Danio rerio: one gene and its partners. The protein of the gene in region 4 purifies or fractionates together with the protein of the main gene of each other region. This does not show direct contact. Links are inferred from orthologs where the notes say so. Each region holds a gene or a part of one and is shown on either strand. Other genes may lie near its edges.

Region 1 (5,070 bases), on a different chromosome or scaffold from region 4:
TTGGACAATAGAAGATTGGAAAAACGTTGCCTAACGAGTCTTGATTTCTGCTGCAGCATTAGATGGTAGGGTCATAATTTGGCATCAACAACATGAAAGCATGGATCCGTCCTGCCTTGTATCAACGGTTCAGGCTGGTGGTGTAATGGTGTAAGGATACTTTCTTGGGACACTTTGGACCCATTAGTACCAATTGAGCATTGTGTCACTGCCACAGCCTACCTGAGTATTGTTGCTGACCATGTCCGTCCCTTTATGACCACAGTTTACTCATCTTCTGATGGCTACTTCCAGCAGAATAATACGAAATGTCATAAAGCACGAATCATTTTACACTGGTTTCTTGTACATGACAAAACGTTCACTATACTCAAATGGCCTTCACAGTCACCAGATCTCAATCCAATAGAGCACCTTTGGGATGTGATGGAATTGGAGATTCATATCATAGATGTGCAGAAGGCAAAACTGCAGCAACTGCGTGGTGCTATCATGTCAAAATGGACCAAAATCTCTGAGGAATATATCAAGTACATTATTGAATCTATGCCACGAAGGATTAAGGCAGTTCTGAAGGCAAAAGGGGCTCCAACATGGTACTAGTAAGGTGTACTTAATAAAGTGGCCAGTGGGTCTGTCTGTCAGTCTGTCTATAATATTATTTTATTGCATACTTGCCAATTTTTTTATCATTTAACATTTTTAAAACAAGTGCGATGCTCAATATTTTTGTGGTAATACATCATTGTTCAGGGTATAACCTTGAAAAGAACTAAAATCATCTCAAATAGACATCATTTGTAGAATTATAAACATATTTACCATCTCTTGTTAAATACATCCATATTAAAAAACTCTGATGAACAGCGGTGACATTAGTTCATGCCAGTGCATTATATTTTTATATTTCGGAGATAAATATGTTTTTCAAACGGATCAGTGATCAGAACTAAACATGAGCAGTGGTGAAAGAAAAATGGTTGATTTTGCACAGATCACCAAGTTCTTCATATAACAACTCAGAAGCAGGAAACGCTCTTGCAATACCCAAATGATTTAGCAGCCAATAGAATTCAAGTCTGCACCACAAAAACTAAATATACACACAGGCACACAACCACGACTGAAACTCTGACACAAAAGCAATGACAACACACTGAAACTGCAGAATCAAGAACAGCTAACGTGTGGATGTTTCTCTATTAGTACCATCTTCAAGGTGGTGCACTTTTAACATTCAAATAGCAAATGTAAACTTCGAGAAACATCCACAGAGTGCTGTCAGCATCCAGAAAACACGATACCTGTAGGAAGCAGGCAGTCTTTCCAGTCAAAATAACCTGCGTAGATCCCGGTTTCCAGAGAGCCGACGATAGGATCAGACTTCTTCTCGATGTACATCTCAAACAGATCATAATCCAGCTGTCTCAGCGCATCTATGCTGACCTGAAGAACATGTTCAGATTAATCGCAAACCATTGCCCCTTTTCACAGATCATATAAAAAACTATTCTGTAACTGTGATCTGTATTTCAGCTTGTCTTGATTAAGAATCATAATTTTGACCTTCTGTTTAATTGTTCTGAAAATATCTTCTTTCTTTGAGATTTTAAAAAGCATAAGCACAAGTTTTATTTACCTTTTCCTACTGAATTTTTCCTACTGAATTTACTTTCCAACTGAATGAATGATGGTCACTAGAGTTTAGCAGTCTTCACTGCAGTCCTCTGCTCAAATTACAGTGATATACAGTCAGTATTTGTAACTTCACAAAGCCGTTGGTGCTTTTTGCAGATAGTTCATCTGTAATTAATGCCATAAATCCAAACATTAATCTTGACTATCCTCTAAATAAATTTGCTTATGCATCTATTTTTGTGCTACAATTATAAGTAAACTTGAATATAATTTGGAATTATTGGCATTACTATTAGAAACTGTATCAGCTTTTGCAGGAGGCTACTTAAAATTATACCAGTTTTCATAATATAGACCAGGGGGTGTCAAACCTGCCCTGCAGAGTTTAGTTCCAACCCTGCTCCAACACACTCACCTGTAGGTTTCAAACAAGCCTGAAGGATTTAATTAGTATGATCAGGTGTGTTTAATTAGGGCTGGAACTAAACTGTGCAGAGCTGCTGTCCTCCAGAAACTGAGCTTGACACCTGTGATGTAGACAAAGTATAATGTATGATCAATATAATAAATCTGGAAAACAGACGAGGTAAAATAAACCCTCCAAAGATTTAATGTTCTCTTAATTAATAAAAGCACAAAAATTATTATGCAGCCCTACATACTGTACAAGACTCTTTCCTGTAAATGACACTTGAAAAACTATAATCACTAACATCACAAACAATCATCCCCCTTCGCACTCTTCTTGCAGAATGAGTAGAGACCACTCATGCATGTCCATTATTTAGACATGTGCTAAGATTTAGGGACGTTTTCAAAAAAACCAGAATGGAAAGCACCATTTCAATAGGGGACAAACCTCTGGGATCTCATTAAAAGACCAGATATCAACATCTCAATCTTCTTTTCCAAATTATTCAGAAACATTGAAAAGGTCCTGCCCATGCAAAAATAATATGCTGTGCCTGGCTGCCAGAATGCTTCTATTTAATGGTATCAGTGTTTTTATTTTGTAGTGTGCAGCTTTGCAGTTACTAGGGTATGCTAAGTGCTTGCTGCATTTATGTCCACTATGCATAAATATTCTGATCCCTATATGGCACAGATTCCTCACTCAGTGTAAGTTCAGCTTGACTTGTACTTGCCCTTGTTGACTGAGGATACGATACTTAAATGCAAAGACTCAAGGTTTGACATGAGAATTTAAAGAAAAGACTTACTTCTGACTTGCATAAAAACTTAAGAAAAAAAACAAAGAATTTTTTGTAAGCACATACGTTTTTGCATTGTTTTTCAAAAGACCTTATGGTTTGGCTCAGTCCACTCTCATTAACATTAAAAGCACACGCAGGATATTTGTTTGAATTGATATGTGTTTTGTGGTCTGAAAACAAATAAAAAGGCAGGCACACAGCATTGAAACAACCTCAGAGTGAGCAAATAATGACTGATGTTTTATTATTTGTGTGAACTAACCATCTAAACTGCACGATTCTAACATACTTGTAGCACAAAACTATGCACATTTAACAATAATCTATAAGCTGCTGGTTTTTAATAGACAATCAATCTGTAGAATACATCTGTAGCATTCTGCACTACCATTGGTAATTGCTGCATCACTTTAATTTGAATAAAGTTAAGCTGAGTCTCAGAGTGAATCACCATTTAGAGTAAGAGGTGTATGCAAATACTTTAATGCAATGAGACAACTTCTGATAAATGATCAATAAAAAATGTATTTCTCATTTGTATTTACAGAATATTTCATTAATGAACACAAAAGAAGATATTGTGAAGAATGTTGGTAAGCTGACAGTTGAGAGTGCCTGTTGACTTTGATAAGTAACTTCAGAGTAAGCGTAATTTTGGCGTGAACTATCACTTTATTATAAGCAGGTCAGTTTGGGATCAAGCGCTAAAGCTCTTCTATGAGTAATCAAGCTCTTCTATGTGCCACAGCAAGTCTTCTCATCATTACATTCTCTATGATCTTCATCAAAACCATCTGCATTTACTGGAAAGGTAACCATAACCTTTTGCGAGGGCTTCACCCTCTTGGCTGCCGACTGAGTGAGTAGTAATGCCACCACGAAAAACCCTTGAGCTTCTCCTCAGACTGTGTGAGTCATTCTCACTTCAGTAAAAGACAACATCAGCAACAGAACTTAGAAACACATCTGTTAAGGTGCTTAAAACTGTGGACTGAAGTAAAAAAGGGAACAGGAAAGTGTATTTGTACCCTAATGATCTTGTCTGCCATGGTGAAGCCATTCTTCTCCAGGTGCTCTGCTAGATTGAGGAATGTGTGTCTCTCCAGATACTGACAGTTACTGAGAATGATGAGAAGACGCTGTTCCTGCAGAAAATAAAACCCACACACATAAGAAACCAATTCATATTTAACAGTAAGGTAATAATAAGGGGGAGGAAGAACGAGACTACCTGAAAACTACCAGCTTCTAATCATAGGATCTGAGTCAAATGTATTTTTTGTTACAGAAGAGTAAACAATAGTAATCAACAAAAGAAATCTATGTTCGGTGGAATAGCGCTGATCTTTGATCGCAGTTAATGAAAACATTTGTTATTCTGCCCTACTTTTATTTTTGGAAGAAGAAAAAAAATCTAAATGACAATATTTTTAAGTTAATTTGGAAGGAAGGTTATTAAACATTAAATGCATAAAACAAATATTAGCATTTGACTCAAACCCATATTTAATAAATACAGAGAAATTGAGAATTTTCAAGTGGTACTTTATTTATTTATTTCCCCCCCCCATTGTTTTATAATGAATAATATACTATATAGTAGTCAACATTTGAACTGGATCAAACAAAATGATCAAAATAGTTCTCAAATAAGAATGATTGTTGTTTAAAAGTTTAATACAATTTTCATAAACGTTTTTCTTTTCACTTCAAATGTTGTTTGAAACTGTTTGAAACTGTAATTTTTAATAATATTTTTTTGCTTTTTTTAATTGAGCGTATAGACCAGGTGTGGGCAAACCTGATCCTGGAGGGCCGGTGTCCTGCATAGTTTAGCTCCAACCCTATTCAAACAGACCTCCCTATAGAGTTCAAGTGATCTTGAAGACACTGATTAGTTTATTCAGGTGTGTTTGACTAGCGTTGGAACAAAACTCTGCAGGGACACCGGCCCTCGAGGATCAAGTTTGCACAACCCTGGTATAGACCCTTTTCACATATACGGGTTTCTCAGTAACGGAAAATGACACAGTTGGTTAAAGCTGGGTCTTAGAGCCCAGTAAATGGGAAAGTACAACAAATAATATTTTTACAACTCTATTTGCTGAAATAATGAAAGAAAAACTCCACGATGGTGTGATCAAGACTTTTAAAGAAATGAAAAAAATTGTGTGAGACTAATAATGGCAGCCAGAGGAGAGAATAATCAAAATTCAAA
Region 2 (5,070 bases), on a different chromosome or scaffold from region 4:
TATTCGATATCGATAATTATCACGATATAAAATTTTTCGATAAAACGATAATGACAGTTCGATAATTGCTCGATAATATTTACACACTATGCGTAACGTTGCGCAAGGATTTTGCAGCCTGCCCTTCCGGATGCCACACGCCGTACAAGTTTACAGCCATACAGTGTTAGTTGCACTGAAAGGAATAAGAAAGAAATAAGGTAAAAAAGGTCAGAGTCACAGACATTGTTGATAAGAAACATCACTAGACTTCATGTGCTACTTAGTTTTCGCTATCCGACACAAAACAGAGCAACGTGCACCGCAAACTGCTTAGATGACTCGTGTCATCAAATGCAGGCAACACCACGACCTGTTTCACCATGTAAAACAAGACCACCCTTATAAAGATGCTAAGAAATTACAGACATTAACAAGTGTTGGCAAACCAGCGCAGCTACCCAGCAGAGTCTCATTTCATTGTTTTCGAAAGCCGTGCTACGAGAACCCCCCTCCCCCCCCCCCCCCCCCCCCCCACGGGGGAGGACAGACGCAAGACATGACAGACGACACAATCTCAATCACATCTCAATGAACACTTGATGCTTGCTTATAAATGCAGCAAATATATGACAGACGTTTACAACAGCAGTGGATCATTAATTAAATAAATTTTTTTCACTGAACGAGCGAAGCATCATTCACCCGCAGTTGTTTAAGGCGGGCACGAACTAAATAAATATAAACACATTTTCAAGGAAATATATCTTTTTGTAACGAATTTCGTTTTGTATAATGTGTAACTTAATTTTGATGTATATTTTGTTGGTCATATCTACAGCATAAACAAGAGGAACGAATAACATTTAAGTTGAAGCGCTTTAACACAAGCCTGCTATATGCTTCAGCGCCAAAACAATCCATCAAACTATTTTCACGGTTTCATTTTAATTCATTAACTAATCGCAGTCTGAGCAGCATGAACTGGACAGTCTTTTCGCAGCACTGATAGATTTTTTGGGTTACCTCGGAAGAATAAACTTGGATGGAGCTCAGAAGCTCGCTGTGTTAATGGAGAGGCTCCCCGGCTGGCTCCCCGCATGTTTTCGTTGTGATGCACGATTTGTAAAATGAGAATTTGTCTGTCAGACAAATTTGGTTAAAATACGCGCGGATATATCGGAGATATGCGCATAACAAGGTTTTATGCGACCTGCAATATGGGATGTCAAGAGAGTGACAGCATAAGTAAGGTAAACTGCACACATTTGATGATGTAATGCGTGGATGCGTCTCAGCGCAAAGCATAACTAAACCTTTACATGTTCATGCTTAATCAGTCATCGATAAGGTCTATCAATTAAAGCTTTATCGACAATAGATCAAGTAATCATTAGCATCCCTAAATAAAATACATTAATGTATATTTCACCCTAAATTCACCATATTCACCATTAAAATGAGTTAATCCAAAACTGAAAATTATGTGACTTTTAACTCACGTTGTTCCAAATATTTTTTTTTTTCTGATGTTGAAAAATAATATCCAATAACTTGTAGGTAATGTCTTTGGTTGTTGAAAACTTGAACAAGTAAATGCTGAATTAAGATTGTTATTTTGTTTATTATTTATATTGTCAGACAGCTAAAACATTTCACTAATTGTGTTAAATCAGCTGCACAAAGCCATTGGCAGGCTGAAAATCTTATATAATTGATAGATATAAAGATTTTACATTTATTGAGATAAATATCGATATCGACTGATATGAAAAAAATTATCGTGCTAATTTTTTTTGCCATATCGCCCAGCTCTACTTTGAAGTTGCATTTAAAACATATAAAATATACCTATAAAAATCCAAAATAAACTGCAGCTCTTTCAGTAATTTATTATTCACTGAAAAACATTACAGTGGGTTGATCAAAGAAGCTTGACATATTCAAAAGACTTTAAGAGTTCACTCAACTTAAAATTCTCTCATCATTCACTTGTTTCGAACATGTTTGTCTTTTTTTGTTTCTGAAAACTAGAAAAATGGATATATGAAACAAAGCATAGGACTGATCGGTCAGTTCTTGTAGCGTGACTCTTGGTTTTCATCTGGTGCGCCTGGAAAAAATGCTCAGAATATTTGTGCGCAATCCGCCGCTTCCATTGGAAAAATGAACTTGGAAAAAAACACGATATGTGAACGGCCCCATAAGCAGTTAGTTTTCTCTTTACATTCATAAGATGCCTTCACTCCCGATCCTGCACAAAAATTCAATTTGTTTAGGCCGAGTTGTCCAGTGTGTTCCTTGATGACGAGTATTGTCATAGAATGGTTTCTATTCAAGCGCTTGAACAAGTTGCTGGTCGAATTAAAAGCAGTGGAAAGTTCTGGGCATAGACTTGTTTTTAGCCTCAATGAAATCAAAGTAATGTCTGTATTTCCACTTGAAGCAGTATGTAGCAGCCATTTCAATTTGCTTTCTCAAGCTTTTTAAAAGCGAATGCTTATTAACAGATGTTACAGCAGAAAACGGATTTAAAAGAAGCATTTTTTTCTTCTAAAGACTGTGTTTGTATCCTAATGCAGTGCCATTGAGTTTAATCACTGTAATTAAATAACACAAATTTAAAATGTAATTCGTTACATTAATGCATTCCCCAAAATTGTAATTTGAATACAGTAATGTGCTACTATGGAATGCGTTACACCCAACTTTGGTATTTAGTATGATAAAACAGCACTACTTTTTCCCCACATTATCACAACCAGAAGAACTGGACGCAGTATACTATGGCATAATAAAACGTCTCTTCTTTTGTGCCGCATCATGTTCGTTTTACATCAGCAATTAGTTCAGTGCTTTTGTTTTCCTTTGACTGCTTTTAGCCTTATTCTGCGTCATATCCCATGATAATAAGTTTTGGATACTTTATCTTATCCATGTAATGAAGACAACAGCTGCAATGATTCAACACAAAGTCACAGTGTCATAAAACTACGCCTTTGTTTGTTGTGAAAATGCACCCTCTAGTGATGAAAATAATATATTGTCCTTTTAATATGCTACTTTTAAAAAATAATGGGAAAATGAAAACATTAAATATTATATATAGTTATTTGTTTAAATTTGTAAAGACTTTTAGTAATTGTTTATGTGCTTTTGTAATTTTAAAAATCAGGTTCAGATGTTGAATGTTGCAGTTCTTCAGTCTTCTTTCATATCTGATTTGTCTGTTTTGTTTTTGAATAGTGGAGAAAGTGGCCAATGAGAGCCAGAAGACTCCACGCGATGTGGTGATGATGGAGAACTTTCACCACATCTTCTCAACACTGTCCAGCCTCAAGATCTCCTGTCTGGAGGCAGAGAGAAAGGAGGCCAAGCAGAAATACACCGAACACCTGCAGTCCTACGTCATCAACTCACTTGGTCAACCGCTAGAGAAACTCAATGTGAGGAAAAAATCTTTATCGCAATCTGGAATGAGCAGTATTTTATCTACCGCAAGAATTTAATTAGAAAACTTAAACATGTTTGCATTATAAACGTTTACATTTTTTATTAAAGAAATCATCTAATTTATGCACCCTCGAGTGTTTGCAACCCGGTTTGAGTTTCTTCTTTCTGTTAAAAAGAAAAGAAAGTATTTCTGAAGAATTTTGGAAATCTGTAGCCACTGACTTTTTTGAGAGTTTTTTCACACTGTATTATTGAGCCATTGTTTTCCATTGTATGACAGTGAAATAATATACTGTAAAACTTTAAAGGGCTCCTATTTTACCCTTTTTGTAAGAGAAGACTTTTGTGTCTATAAAGTTTTAGCTCAAAATACCCTCCAGATTAATTATTATAGCCTCCAGAATCTGCCCATTTTGGTGTCTAAGTGGCTTTGGTGCCTGAGGCTTTGAATTCAAATGAGCTGCTTCTTCCGACCCACCGCTCCACTTTACGTCAGTTAAACAGCTGTCAGTGATGGAGACAGACTCGGATGAAGCTGAAATAAGATCACTAGTTAAAATTACCAACTAAGTTTATTTGATGTATTTATGGTGGAGTTTATTTAAGCCTTATTACAAACACGCTCTGTTTAAAAAATGTTTCAAACTTATAAAATTATTTATTGAGGTGCAGCTGTTCATAGAGACTTGAAACAAATTTTAATCCCAGTTTATTTGCAATAAATGTTCTGTAGACGTGTATACGTGTTATTGTGGAGACATGGCAAATGTCAATCCGGTGGGCGGGGAAAACCGTCATGTTGTGGTGAGCCTCAAAATTGCTGTGTTTGTTTGCAAATGTTTCCTACATTCCTCACAATATCTTTTTTTTGTCTTTAACGCAAGTAAAAAAAACTCAAATGGGTTTGGAACAAGTAAATGAGGACAGAAAGTTTTATTTTTGGGTGAACTATCCCTTGTTTATGTGGGATTCACTCTTAAAAGTCTTACCTCATCCTGGCAAGGGCAAACCAGTGTGTTTTTTTTCACATGACAACTGTCATAATTTAACCAGAGTTTGGGTTAACTATTAATCCTGATAATTTCGTTTTTGATGTCTCAAAATGAACATTCCTAAACATGAGGTAAGTGTATGTACTTACATATTTGTAGCATCAGTTTTACTGATTGGAAAATGAAGCAAGCAACCTTTTAACATAAAAGACCACCTCATTATATATTGCAGGCCACTATAAAATGACTTTTCAGACTATAAAAAGTATTAAGAGTATTAAGTGTATTAAGAGGTCTCCTTTTCGATAGTTCCCTCGCCATTTGACATTTTTGATACAATGCAAATTGTTTCTATGACCATTTAAGGCATGTGAATATCAGACGTGATTGGCTTTTGCTAAGCTGTGATTGCTAAACTTCTAGCCATAACATCCTGCATTGTATCACACCAGACAGCAATGCAGGGTTAAAGGCACAAAATGTAAAGTTTATTCATTAAAGTATTCAGTAAGTCCAAAAGTGATCAAAAGTGATCAAACTGTTGTTTATTGTGAATATGAAAAATGTCAATCTGTGTCTATAAGAGTGCTATAGAGCAGAGTCCAATGCTGACCTATTTTAATATTACAAGTGTGAAAGTTTTTTA
Region 3 (5,758 bases), on a different chromosome or scaffold from region 4:
TTAAAGTGGTTCAATTTTTCTAATAATTCAACGCACTGGTGTCAATTATTCCGCATATACTCTGGTTTCCACAGCTAAAGCCACTGTTAAGATGTTATATTTTACAAATCGGTCAGGTTTTTGACCTCAAACTGCTCCTGTGTGTAGGATTAGTTTCTTCCACATCTCCTCTAAAGCCTTCTGTTGTGCTGTGATGTGATTTTTGACTGTTGTAGCTGTGAAATAACTAAAATCATTTGGTGTGGTCAAATGCAGCTGTAATGAACCCAAAACCTGCCGGAACTGCTTTAGCTGTGCGTTTGTCTGTACACTGTGCAGATTTTAGCACCAACCCTAATCAAACACACCTGAACAAGCTAATCAAGGTCTTACTAGGTATACTTGAATCATCCAGGCAGGTGTGTTGAGGCAAGTTGGAGCTAAACCCTGCAGGGACACCGGCCCTCCAGGAGCGAGATTGGTGACCCCTGCTGTAGAATGTTCATCAGCCAATCAGAATCAAGCAAAAAGTGAAATTAAAACTTTTAATAATAATAATAATAATCAGTGATGCAGTAGGTAGTGCTGTCGCCTCACAGCAAGAAGGTCGCTGGTTCGAGCTTCGGGTGGGTCAGTTGGCATTTCTGTGTGGAGTTTGCATGTACTCCCTGCCTTCGCGTGGGTTTCCTTCGCGTGCTCCGGTTTCCCCCACAGTCTAAAACAGGTGAATTGGGTAGGCTAAATTGTCTGTAGTGTACGAGTGTGAATGAGTGTGTATGGATGTTTCGCAGACATGGGTTGCAGCTGAAGGGCATCCGCTGCGTAAAACATGGATAAAACATGCGTGGACAAATTGGCGGTTCATTCCGCTGTGGCGACCCCGATTAATAAAGGGACTAAGCCGAAAAGAAAATGAATGAATAATAATAATAATAATAAACCATTGAATAGGTGATCACTAACCCTTCCCGGATGATCTTGTCAGTGTCTTTGGCCACGTGATAGTAGCTGATGACGTGATCCATGTTGGACAGTGTTTTATCCACATTCTCCTGCAGCCGCTGCAGATTCTCCGTCTGCTTGTGAACCGGGATGATGGAGTTTTCCAGCTGCATCAGACGACTCTCAAATGACGACAGGATGGACACCTTAAACAAATTAAAACACACGTTCACCATTTCATTCACAAATACCAACCACAAAATAATACTTACAATGGATATATTAGGAAAAAAGCTACTTGTAAAACAAATATCACTGTACAACACTGCTGAGCACTGACTTTACATGATCGAACCAGAATGACACACTAGTGTTATTCACATTTATACAACAGTTCTTTCTGGTTCTTCAATCTGATTGGCTGAGTAGTGGCACGAGTGGCAAGGAGGACAACAGTTTGACAAATACTGCAGCTGTTGGACAACATAATGTACTTTTGAGCCTTTTTAGGCGAGAATGTAGTTGTTGTGATTGCAACTATGCAGTTTATTTATAAGGATAGTGCCTATTTAAATATTTTGAATTTAAGAGCATGCAGATTCAACACGTTGGCAGTCATCAGCCTGTCATACTGAGCAGAGCAAAGACGGTTGACGTTCCTTTTACCCTAATAAATAGACCTAATAATTAGCCCTTAGGTGTTAGCATATATTTCAAACTAAAGCTAAACAAATCTTTACAGAACAGCCAAGTGACTTTCTAAGTCAATCTCTCTTTTGTTTGTTGTATTGCTCTATTTATACCATAGTAATCTGGTAGTGTTTGCTTTGCTTTGGTTTTTTCGGGGTTAATTACAGTGATCTCCCAATTGCAATAGAGAAATACTGGGAGATATCTTTGTAGACTGATGGCATTTCATGCCGTTCAGCTTTATAATCTTAAAATGTGTGCAAAATCAGCTGTTTTGTCATCACTTTAGACATTACGCAAGAGAATCACTCAAACACTAGCTCTAAAGTGACGTTGGTGAATGAGCAGCGGTTTCTACTGTTCTGACGTCAGCTGCAGATGTGAATAAACGGCGGAAGAAAGTAGTTCCTCATACAAAAGGATTTTTGAAACTCTCCATGTCGAATTCTCTTTTGTTATATACACAATTATGCGGTTGAACTGTTGTATAAATGCAATATCACACTCATAGCAGTGTGGTATGGCTGTATATCATGTGACATTAAGATACTCTGTCTGCGGCCTTGAGCCAACACACGCCTCCTACCAGTGCCAATATACAGCCATATCACACTGCTATGAGTGTGATATCACTCATATAAATATAAATCTCTCACCATTCCTTTAGTGAGCTGATCACTCTTCTCCAGGCTTTCACGGATAAAAGAAAGCGTTTCTTGCTCCTGTAGATGATAGATACAATGAACAGGTCAAGACATGTGTTTTTTATTAGTGCTTTATGTTGTTTGTATAGTGTTTTAGTTAAATTCATATAGCAGGATAAAATGGTTTTTGGTTATGAAATTTGCATCTGTGAATATGGTACTTTCTAAATATTATCAAGAAATTATTAACATAAGTTTTCTTCTCTATTTTTTTTTTGTTGTAGTTCAAAAACCCAAATATAATATGTTGCTATTCTAAACGGAAATTTGTCAATAATTTGTCATTTATGAAATTGGTCATTTATCTCGTACCCTATTTTCTTCGATAACTGGCAATTCCAAAACATCTGCGGCACAGTTTCTGGCTGTGATAAACAAACTGAACAGTTTTGATCTATATTATGTCTAAACATTGAAAGAAAATGTTTGACAGGGTAAAATATATTCAGAATTTTAAATGAGACCTCTTTAAATTTGTTTGTAATAAATAATTTGTTAGGCAACGACCATAATTTTTTCCAATTTAAATCTCTGATGAACGCAGACCAATGAGAAATTATCTAGGGTTTACTATTTATGAGTGAATGAAATAATGAACGTATGGCCTTATTTTGGTGAGAAGAAAAACAAATTTTCCCACATAGTGTATCTTTAGGGTGTAACAGAGATATTTCCTGAATATGAGTAACCTTCACAGAGTGAAACAATACATAGGGGAATAGCAGCAAAGACCATTGCAAATTCTATTTAGGACACAGGAAAATTAAAATGTGATAAAAATTCATTAAGTAACCTTGGGAATTTAGTACCTGTCCCACCAAAAAAATTCCTTTTCAAAACAATTTTTTAAGAACAAGCTTTTATGTTTGTACAAAATTACTGTTTACATTTTGTATGCTTGAGATGTATGCAAATTACGTCATTATTTAATTAATTACTCATTTATATGACACAAAAAAACTTGTAATCGAAAAATGTTTGCAACTCTTAATGTTATCAATCAGCTGGGTGTTGATTTCCCTACTCTTTTCACCTGCAGTGTCTTGCTTAATAACACATTTTGTACGCCCCAACAGCTTATTTTATCTCTATTATTCAGCTTTCAATAATCTTTGTGACAGGCAAACAAGCAGATATGACGCTAGTTAAATCGCAAATGACATAAATAACACTGTCAGATCACGGGATTCTCATGTTATGCTTCATTCTTCCCGTTTTTCCTCTGTTTAACAGACCTGTTTGAGTTTCTCCTCAATCTCCCGCTTTCTGGCGGACGCGTCTTCGGTTGGGATCATCCTGATGGTCAGAAACACGATGGAAAATACAACTGGACCGTCCGGACCAATGTAAAATACACAATAATATTACAACATTAACCCGAAGACAGCGATAAACAACACGACACAAACGGAAGCCAGTGAAGTACAAAATAAAAGTCCTTTCTGAACCAAGTGTATCAAATGAAACAGAAGCAAAACAATATTCACTATTAAAAAGAAATACATATATGACGACAAAAAGGTAAAAAGTGTACTTAAATGAAGTGCGGCAGGAATTTATAACTACTAAAATGACAAGAAACATAGTGATATTCAATTTATATACAGTATTTATAACGCAACTGTATATACTTATATTATACATATTACCAAATTGTAGTAACATACACAGTAAAATTACATATTATAAATGCATATTTTTTTACGATTATAACAATTTATTATCAATTCAAGTTTCTCAAAATCTTCGAGACTGAAGTTGTTAGGGATATATTTAGTTAACGACTACTAAATATATGTATTCATAAGATCTTAATTTTTATAATATCCTTACCAAACAAAATTATATACAAAATAAAGTTGAATAAAGACATACACTAAATCAAAACACATGAACGCATACACCTTTAACCATGCACCAAGCAACGCTTTAATCACGAGTGCTTTCAAAATCCATGGGACTCTTATTTTGATGAAAAAACCTGATGGTGTGATAGTTGCTTCACCTTCACTGTCTGGTCAGAGATTTAGGGAGGCTCCTGCTGTCAGATTGTCCTACCTCCCATTCAAAAAGTAGGTAGTATGCAACCCATCAGATTTTGCTATAAGTGTAAATGTTAATGTGGAGCAGTGTCATATGAAGCTGTAATATCACCCTAACCTACCTAATCCCTAACCCCAATCTCAGAACCATTCAAACACAGTGTTGGTAGCATATTCTGACAAGTAGGATAAAATGTCAGGACACTCTCTTTATTTTTTCATTCACTCAATATGACACAATCATAAACTTTCATAAAGCACACAATCTCCCCTTCCTCCAAAAATAATTTACAGCAGTATATAAATATGTACATCTGTCAACAAAACAGAAGCGTAATGCATGGTGTCATGCAACGTTAAGTAACAAAACACTCTGTTAAGTTCATTATTTAAAAAAAAACATAATATAAAGTTAAAGATATCTATAAATGTTAAAGAATTAGTTAACAGGTTGTGATTGTTACACTACAAGGAAAAAAAAAACCACAATTCAGCCAAGTGACCCTTTTAGCTCACTTAATATCAGTCTGTTTTATAAAATAACATAATAAAAGTTCACTGATGAGTGATTTCTCAAGGTCTGCTCCTTTTTAAGACTCCTCTTGTTTTGTGAAAGCCTGCAATAAACATAAACAACGTCACGTACTTTTTCATTAAACTAGGATGATTTGAAGAAGATATTTAAGATGACTTGTAATAATAAGTCACAGACCTGTTTCAGAAACTGCCTTCCGAAGTAATTTGTTGCCATGTTCTTCAGGTTTGTTCGGGCTCCTACTTTACAGCGCACATATCCGTACAGATTAGCTCCCTGTAACACCACACCCAAAATCACCACCGCCTGAAAGAGAAAGCAACGTTACTCACAGACACTCACATATTCAAGACCACATGAGTTCATACACAATCAGATATAAATTGTATTTATTTATAGTAGGGCTGCACGATATTGGAAAAATCTGATATTGCAATACTGTATTTTAGACAGCTAGAATAAAAGCAGTTATTAATTTTTTAAACACCATTTTAAGGACAATATTATAAGACCCTTTAAGCTATATATTTTTTTGATAGTCTCCACAGATCAAACCACTGTTATACAATAACTTGCCTAATTACCCTAACTTGCCTAGTTAACCTAATTAACCTAGTTAAGCCTTTAAATGTCACTTTAAGCTGTTTAGAAGTGTCTTGAAGAATATCTAGTCTAATATTATTTACTGTCATCATGGCAAAGATAAAATAAATCAGTTATTAGAAATGAGTTATTAAAACTATTATGATTAGAAATGTGTTGGAAAAATAATCTCCTCGTCAAACAGAAATTGGGGGAAAATATAAAAAGTGGGGCGAATAATTGTGACTTCATTTTACATTTACATTTAGTCATTTAGCAGACGC
Region 4 (5,070 bases):
TTGGGTAACGTTTGTGTGATAAACACTGTTTTCTTGATGCTAAAAATAAAAATTGTGGATGGGAAAGCACTAAATATGAATGGAATTACTACATAAAATGTTCAATTACAAATGTGAGCAAAAAACAGGTGCTCTGTAATTTCGCCTATTTATTTGCAGATCTAGTGATTGCTCCTACTGTATTAGCTGTTGCTCAAGAAAGTCGCTCTTCATTTGCATAAAATTAAGAGATTCTCAACGTTGTGTTGCCAACAGATGCTATAGCGTATGCAGCTGGAGATCGCCAGGAGTCACTAGCTGTCCACTGAAATGAATGGTAGCTGCTTTTTCACTGCATGTTGCTGGTAGTTTGAATGAGGCTTAAGGCAGATCATACCTAGTCAATTGTAAACTCTTTCTAAAAGTATTCAATAGTTGCAGTGTTGTTTTCAATTATATATTATTATAATGCATAAATTATGCTACAACAGGCCTCAAATGCACCATCACAAACATTCATGCTAAACAGCCACTAACAAGTCATTTTTTCACAATTTGCTGAATGTTAAATATGTATGCACATAGGTGTCAGCATCATCTGTCAGCAAATCTATCAGGTAAAGCATTAGCAATATGACACATTATCTTCAATCTCTTAATCAATACATCAGAGGTCTCTGTAAATATATATTCATGATATACAGAGTTTCATTTAAAGATTTTAACCTTAATCATGCAAATAGTTAGTACAGAATAGAATGTTTAACATTGTGTCCTTGCCCCCGTTTTTGAAATTAAACTGACTGCAACACTTTTTTTTTAACAAAAAAGGTTTTTTTGAATGTGTTTCTTGTTTGATATAGTAAAACTAGGCAGTCTGTCTGAATCTGACCTTTTCAGGATTGTTGAATACATCACTGCGCAGCTCTCCATCCAGGAACTCGTTAAAGTATGTCATAAGTCTCTGAGCCTCCACTGCCCTCTGTCTCGGGGTATTGACTCCTTCTAGCTGATCTCCCAGATGGCACACCTTAGTAGCCACATAGCTGATATGCTCATCCAACTCCTGGAAGTGCTGGAAGGCTACCTTTGAATCACAAGAAAGTGGAGGTTATACAGTGTACATGTACAGACACATTTACCTTTAGCCCTTTCACTTTCCCCTACACCTCAATACACACGTTCACTTGAAGGAGTGTCCAAATATCTCTTTTGCTTGGATGTATAGGGGTAGGGGTATGTGATATATAGCCCTGCAAATTGAGATTTCTCAGAACCGCATTACAAGCTACACCAGAAAAACATGCTGGAAAAGAGAGCAAGGAGACCAATAAATGTAAAAAGAAATTTTCAAAATGTCAAGTTATTTTTACTGCAAACAAGTATCTGACACACAACATATACAGTCATAATGGTGTTAATGTGCTACGGTCATGATCTTATGTAAAAAAAAAAAAAAAACAACAAAATTAAAAAGGGATCGACTCTTTTAATAACTGTTGCAATTTTAAAATGCATTTAGCAGATGCTTTTATCCAAAGCGACTTACACCCATAAACACATACCAGGGGAGCAGTTGGGGGTTCGGTGCCTTGCTCAAAGGGAATCCCCTCAACCATGGTATTGAGGTGGAGTTTAACACCAACAATCCCTGCTGGTACCGGGACTTGAACCTGCGACTTTTGAATCGCAAGTCCAACTCTCTAACCATTAGACCATGGCTGCCCAGAAAAGTCTGGTGGCAGGAAATTAGCTTTTCTACAGCATGTACGGTACAACATTAATGTTGGTTTTTTTTTGTGGTTAGATCCATACGAGCACTGTGACAATACACACAATACAGTTTTGTGCTTCTTCCAACACGACCCAAGTAACAGGAAAGCCTGAAGTAACCCTGAGGCTCATACACTTTAGAGCTGAAAATGAACAGCTTACTTCCAAACACAATGCAAAAAACTTTTAAGAAAGTCATCTCTTAAACATTACTGTGCTTACACTTCTAAAATGACTACTGCAGACAATAGCTCATGTGATGTATGAGCTAGTGAAGACATACATGTGTGTGTAGTAATAGTAGTAGTAATAGTCGTGTCCCATTTTGTATGGCCCATTTCCACTCAGTGGTGTGGTACGGTACACTATTTCCACAGTCAAAAGGTACCTAAAAGCAAACCGTACCACTTTTTGGGTATTTTTTCAGAAGGGTACCTAGCACAACAAAAGGATCCAGTAGGAGGAACAAGACGTGCACTACCTCGTGGACAAGCAGAAGAATGAAAACAAAGGAAACAAAATTTTTAAATACACAGCTGAGATAATACACCGTAATAATAAAATACATATAATCATGAGCCATGGTTGACCCGAGCTCAAACAAACCTTGTCATCATCTTGATAAACAGCGACATAGCTAAAAGAGCAGAATCCACCCTTTGCCCTGTGGTCGTTTACAAGGCCGTCTAAAATGCGATCGGTTTTGCTTTCTCGATTATTAAAGTGCTTCTGACACCCAATCCTTTCAGGAACAGACAAACGTAAGAGTGATGTGCGAAAAAACAGGAGAAGCCAGAAAAAAATACAAAGAAGCAAATGCTTCTTTCAGCGAACTAAAACATAAACAAACTGCCATGTTTAACTATTATCATCGGCTTTTGGACTATTATGAACTGGAAATGACGAAATTAAATGTGCTGGTAAAGAATAAAGATACAGATGAGAGGTTTGCACTGACTGTGGGCTGTATGTTGTGTGTTGTTTTTGAACCCAAATGAGGACTAAACAATTGTGTGTAGCTTTTCTGTATTTGGTAATATACTGTATCAGAGATTATAAGTGGCTGTATGTGTTCAAATATGTTGCATTTATTTAAATTTTTTTTAATAATTGCAGACATTAAAGTAGGCTATTTTGCCTTATCATTGATATGCAGTTATAATCAAATCATATTCATATTAAGGTTAAGTAATGAACATTTCTACACAAGTATTTATCTGTATAAAGCATCTGTTTTGTGAGATGTGTTTCTTGTATGATATGTGAATGACCCGTACAGCTTTAGTTTGAAATCTCCTAGAGCGAGAATGACATTGAAACTTTCTGTCTTACACCATACCCACCAAATTGGTATTGGTACCCTTTTGGCAGTGGATATGCAAGCCTAATTAAGATGACTGGTCCCATACCATACTGTACCACTCAGTGGAAACGAACCATTAGGGGAATATTTTCATCCCAACCCTTTTACATTCTATTTTAAGGGCCAAGGGGAAGGCGTAGAGGTATAAATCTGAATTAGGCCTTAACGTCATTCATGATAACGTAACACATAGTTACTCAAACACCTATTGACAGGTTAAAAAATAAACAAATGCAAACAAATGTAAAGACGACTGACTTGGTTGCTCCTTTGAAGGTCTTGAACCTTGTGAGCAAACTCCTTGGCTTCACGGTGGCACTGCTGTTCTAACTTCTCCACTTTCCTCTGGATCCTTTCATCCAGCAGTTTTAGTTCCTCAATGTGGTTCACAAACTCTTCCAGCAACCTGGAACAAAAGATTTGACATTAAAGAGCTGCAGGCAGCAAAAGACAATTTCTGACTTAACAAGCATTTATATTACTTTAAACACTTTAAAGCAAATATGAACCTACAGTTCAATTTGTGGCATTACGTTTTTTCCCCTGAAGTCCATTTACAATGTCATATTTGCAGCAAAAACCTAATTATGTGTCACAACACTTCTATATTCTAAAACGTAAAAGTGTGCCAACAGACACAAAGTACATGAATGCAATATTACCACTATCATTTATTATTACATACATGTCCCATAAGCCTTACAAGTTGGCTTAAACATAACATTTAGGTTTGCTTTGTAACTAATGAACATGGGTGAAAAGGGATTTAGTAAATCTGGTTGGTCAGTGCAATTTTTTTTGGAACATTTTTTGTGGTTTAGACTCATGATGTAAAAGAAGAATGTTTTGGAAGGTTTAGTAAGATTTTGTTAAGAAATAATTATATTTAAACAAGACACATTAAATAAAGTCTTTGATAAACAAAATACTATTAAATACTATATGGATTTGGTCACACTATTAATAGGATGAGCAAAATGTAACATTATTAATTTGAGACAATACAAAAAACATTTAATTGATTTAAACAGTCAGATTTTCTTTAAGAAAATGTACACTTTTTTCAAAATTTTAAACAGTTTTAGTAACCAATTACAAAATGCATTTCTTCAGTTGTTACAATGATGATAGTAGATAATATTTTACTATACATGTTGCAAGACATTAGTATACTGCAGAGATGCCCCAAGTAGGGCCCGCAGAACAAAGTTGGCCCATGCTATCTTTTTTTTTTTATACTTTAATTTTATTTCTTTTAAGGAGATACAAAAAGTAGGTTAAAAAATAAAAATAAAATTAAGTAAATAATACAATAAAGCACCAGAACTTAAATGAACGGTTGACAGGTCACATATTTCCTTACAGGTCACATGAACAAATACATATATAAATCAGATTATACTGTGTAAAGGCATAAGTACAATCCATTTCTCCCAATATTGCAGGTATTTATCCATTTGTAGTTTTAAAGAAAAAGTAATCCGTTCCATATTTTGAACAATAGATATGGTATCCAACCATTCAGATTTTGTAGGGGGTTCCAATTGTAGCCACTTTCGAGTCACAGTTTTCTTACTGGTTGCTAGGAGTATTTTTAATAAGTACTTGTCTTTTGGCCCATGCTATCATTTGATTTGACCCACCGTCCCATCTGAGAAGAGAGGGAGAATGATGGAGAGGTGGTCGGGGCAAATATTTTGAACAGAGATCATCATTTTAAATTTAATGCAACCTTCTGTTTGTTCTGTAATCTGTTTTGTTTCTGATTTTTTTAATGTAAATACGGTCACTCGATGGAAGGTGGAAATTGCACAAGATATCGTCAAAAAACTCAAGGCAAAGGCATGTGCAGCTTAGTTTATTCAGTGTTATAATTGGGATTGTTGATGTTTTTACTGTAATAAATTCATTATAATTGATTTTTATGACACTGTATTAGTTAATACAATTTTAAA

The links.
Region 1: the proteins of exoc5 (region 4) and exoc2 fractionate together in Homo sapiens (co-fractionation; 4 studies listed by BioGRID and IntAct, with this or other methods). This does not show direct contact. The link is inferred for Danio rerio from reciprocal best matches to the Homo sapiens genes EXOC5 and EXOC2.
Region 2: the proteins of exoc5 (region 4) and exoc1 purify together in Homo sapiens (affinity purification with mass spectrometry; 4 studies listed by BioGRID and IntAct, counting the BioPlex papers as one, with this or other methods). This does not show direct contact. The link is inferred for Danio rerio from reciprocal best matches to the Homo sapiens genes EXOC5 and EXOC1.
Region 3: the proteins of exoc5 (region 4) and exoc7 fractionate together in Homo sapiens (co-fractionation; 4 studies listed by BioGRID and IntAct, with this or other methods). This does not show direct contact. The link is inferred for Danio rerio from reciprocal best matches to the Homo sapiens genes EXOC5 and EXOC7.

Annotation. Positions count from the first base shown.
Region 1 is NC_133195.1:29,290,812-29,295,881, forward strand, and holds part of exoc2 (exocyst complex component 2), read right to left. Parts: intron 4,671-5,070; exon of another isoform or gene 4,250-4,670; intron 3,998-4,249; coding exon 3,881-3,997; intron 1,447-3,880; coding exon 1,305-1,446; intron 1-1,304. UniProt on the Homo sapiens protein: Component of the exocyst complex involved in the docking of exocytic vesicles with fusion sites on the plasma membrane.
Region 2 is NC_133195.1:28,538,172-28,543,241, reverse strand, and holds part of exoc1 (exocyst complex component 1), read left to right. Parts: intron 1-3,225; coding exon 3,226-3,425; intron 3,426-5,070.
Region 3 is NC_133187.1:48,857,478-48,863,235, reverse strand, and holds the start of exoc7 (exocyst complex component 7), read right to left. Parts: upstream 3,721-5,758; 5' UTR 3,611-3,720; coding exon 3,551-3,610; intron 2,386-3,550; exon of another isoform or gene 2,334-2,385; coding exon 2,268-2,333; intron 1,128-2,267; coding exon 943-1,127; intron 1-942. UniProt on the Homo sapiens protein: Component of the exocyst complex involved in the docking of exocytic vesicles with fusion sites on the plasma membrane.
Region 4 is NC_133192.1:49,416,681-49,421,750, forward strand, and holds part of exoc5 (exocyst complex component 5), read right to left. Parts: intron 3,522-5,070; coding exon 3,374-3,521; intron 1,067-3,373; coding exon 872-1,066; intron 1-871. UniProt on the Homo sapiens protein: Component of the exocyst complex involved in the docking of exocytic vesicles with fusion sites on the plasma membrane.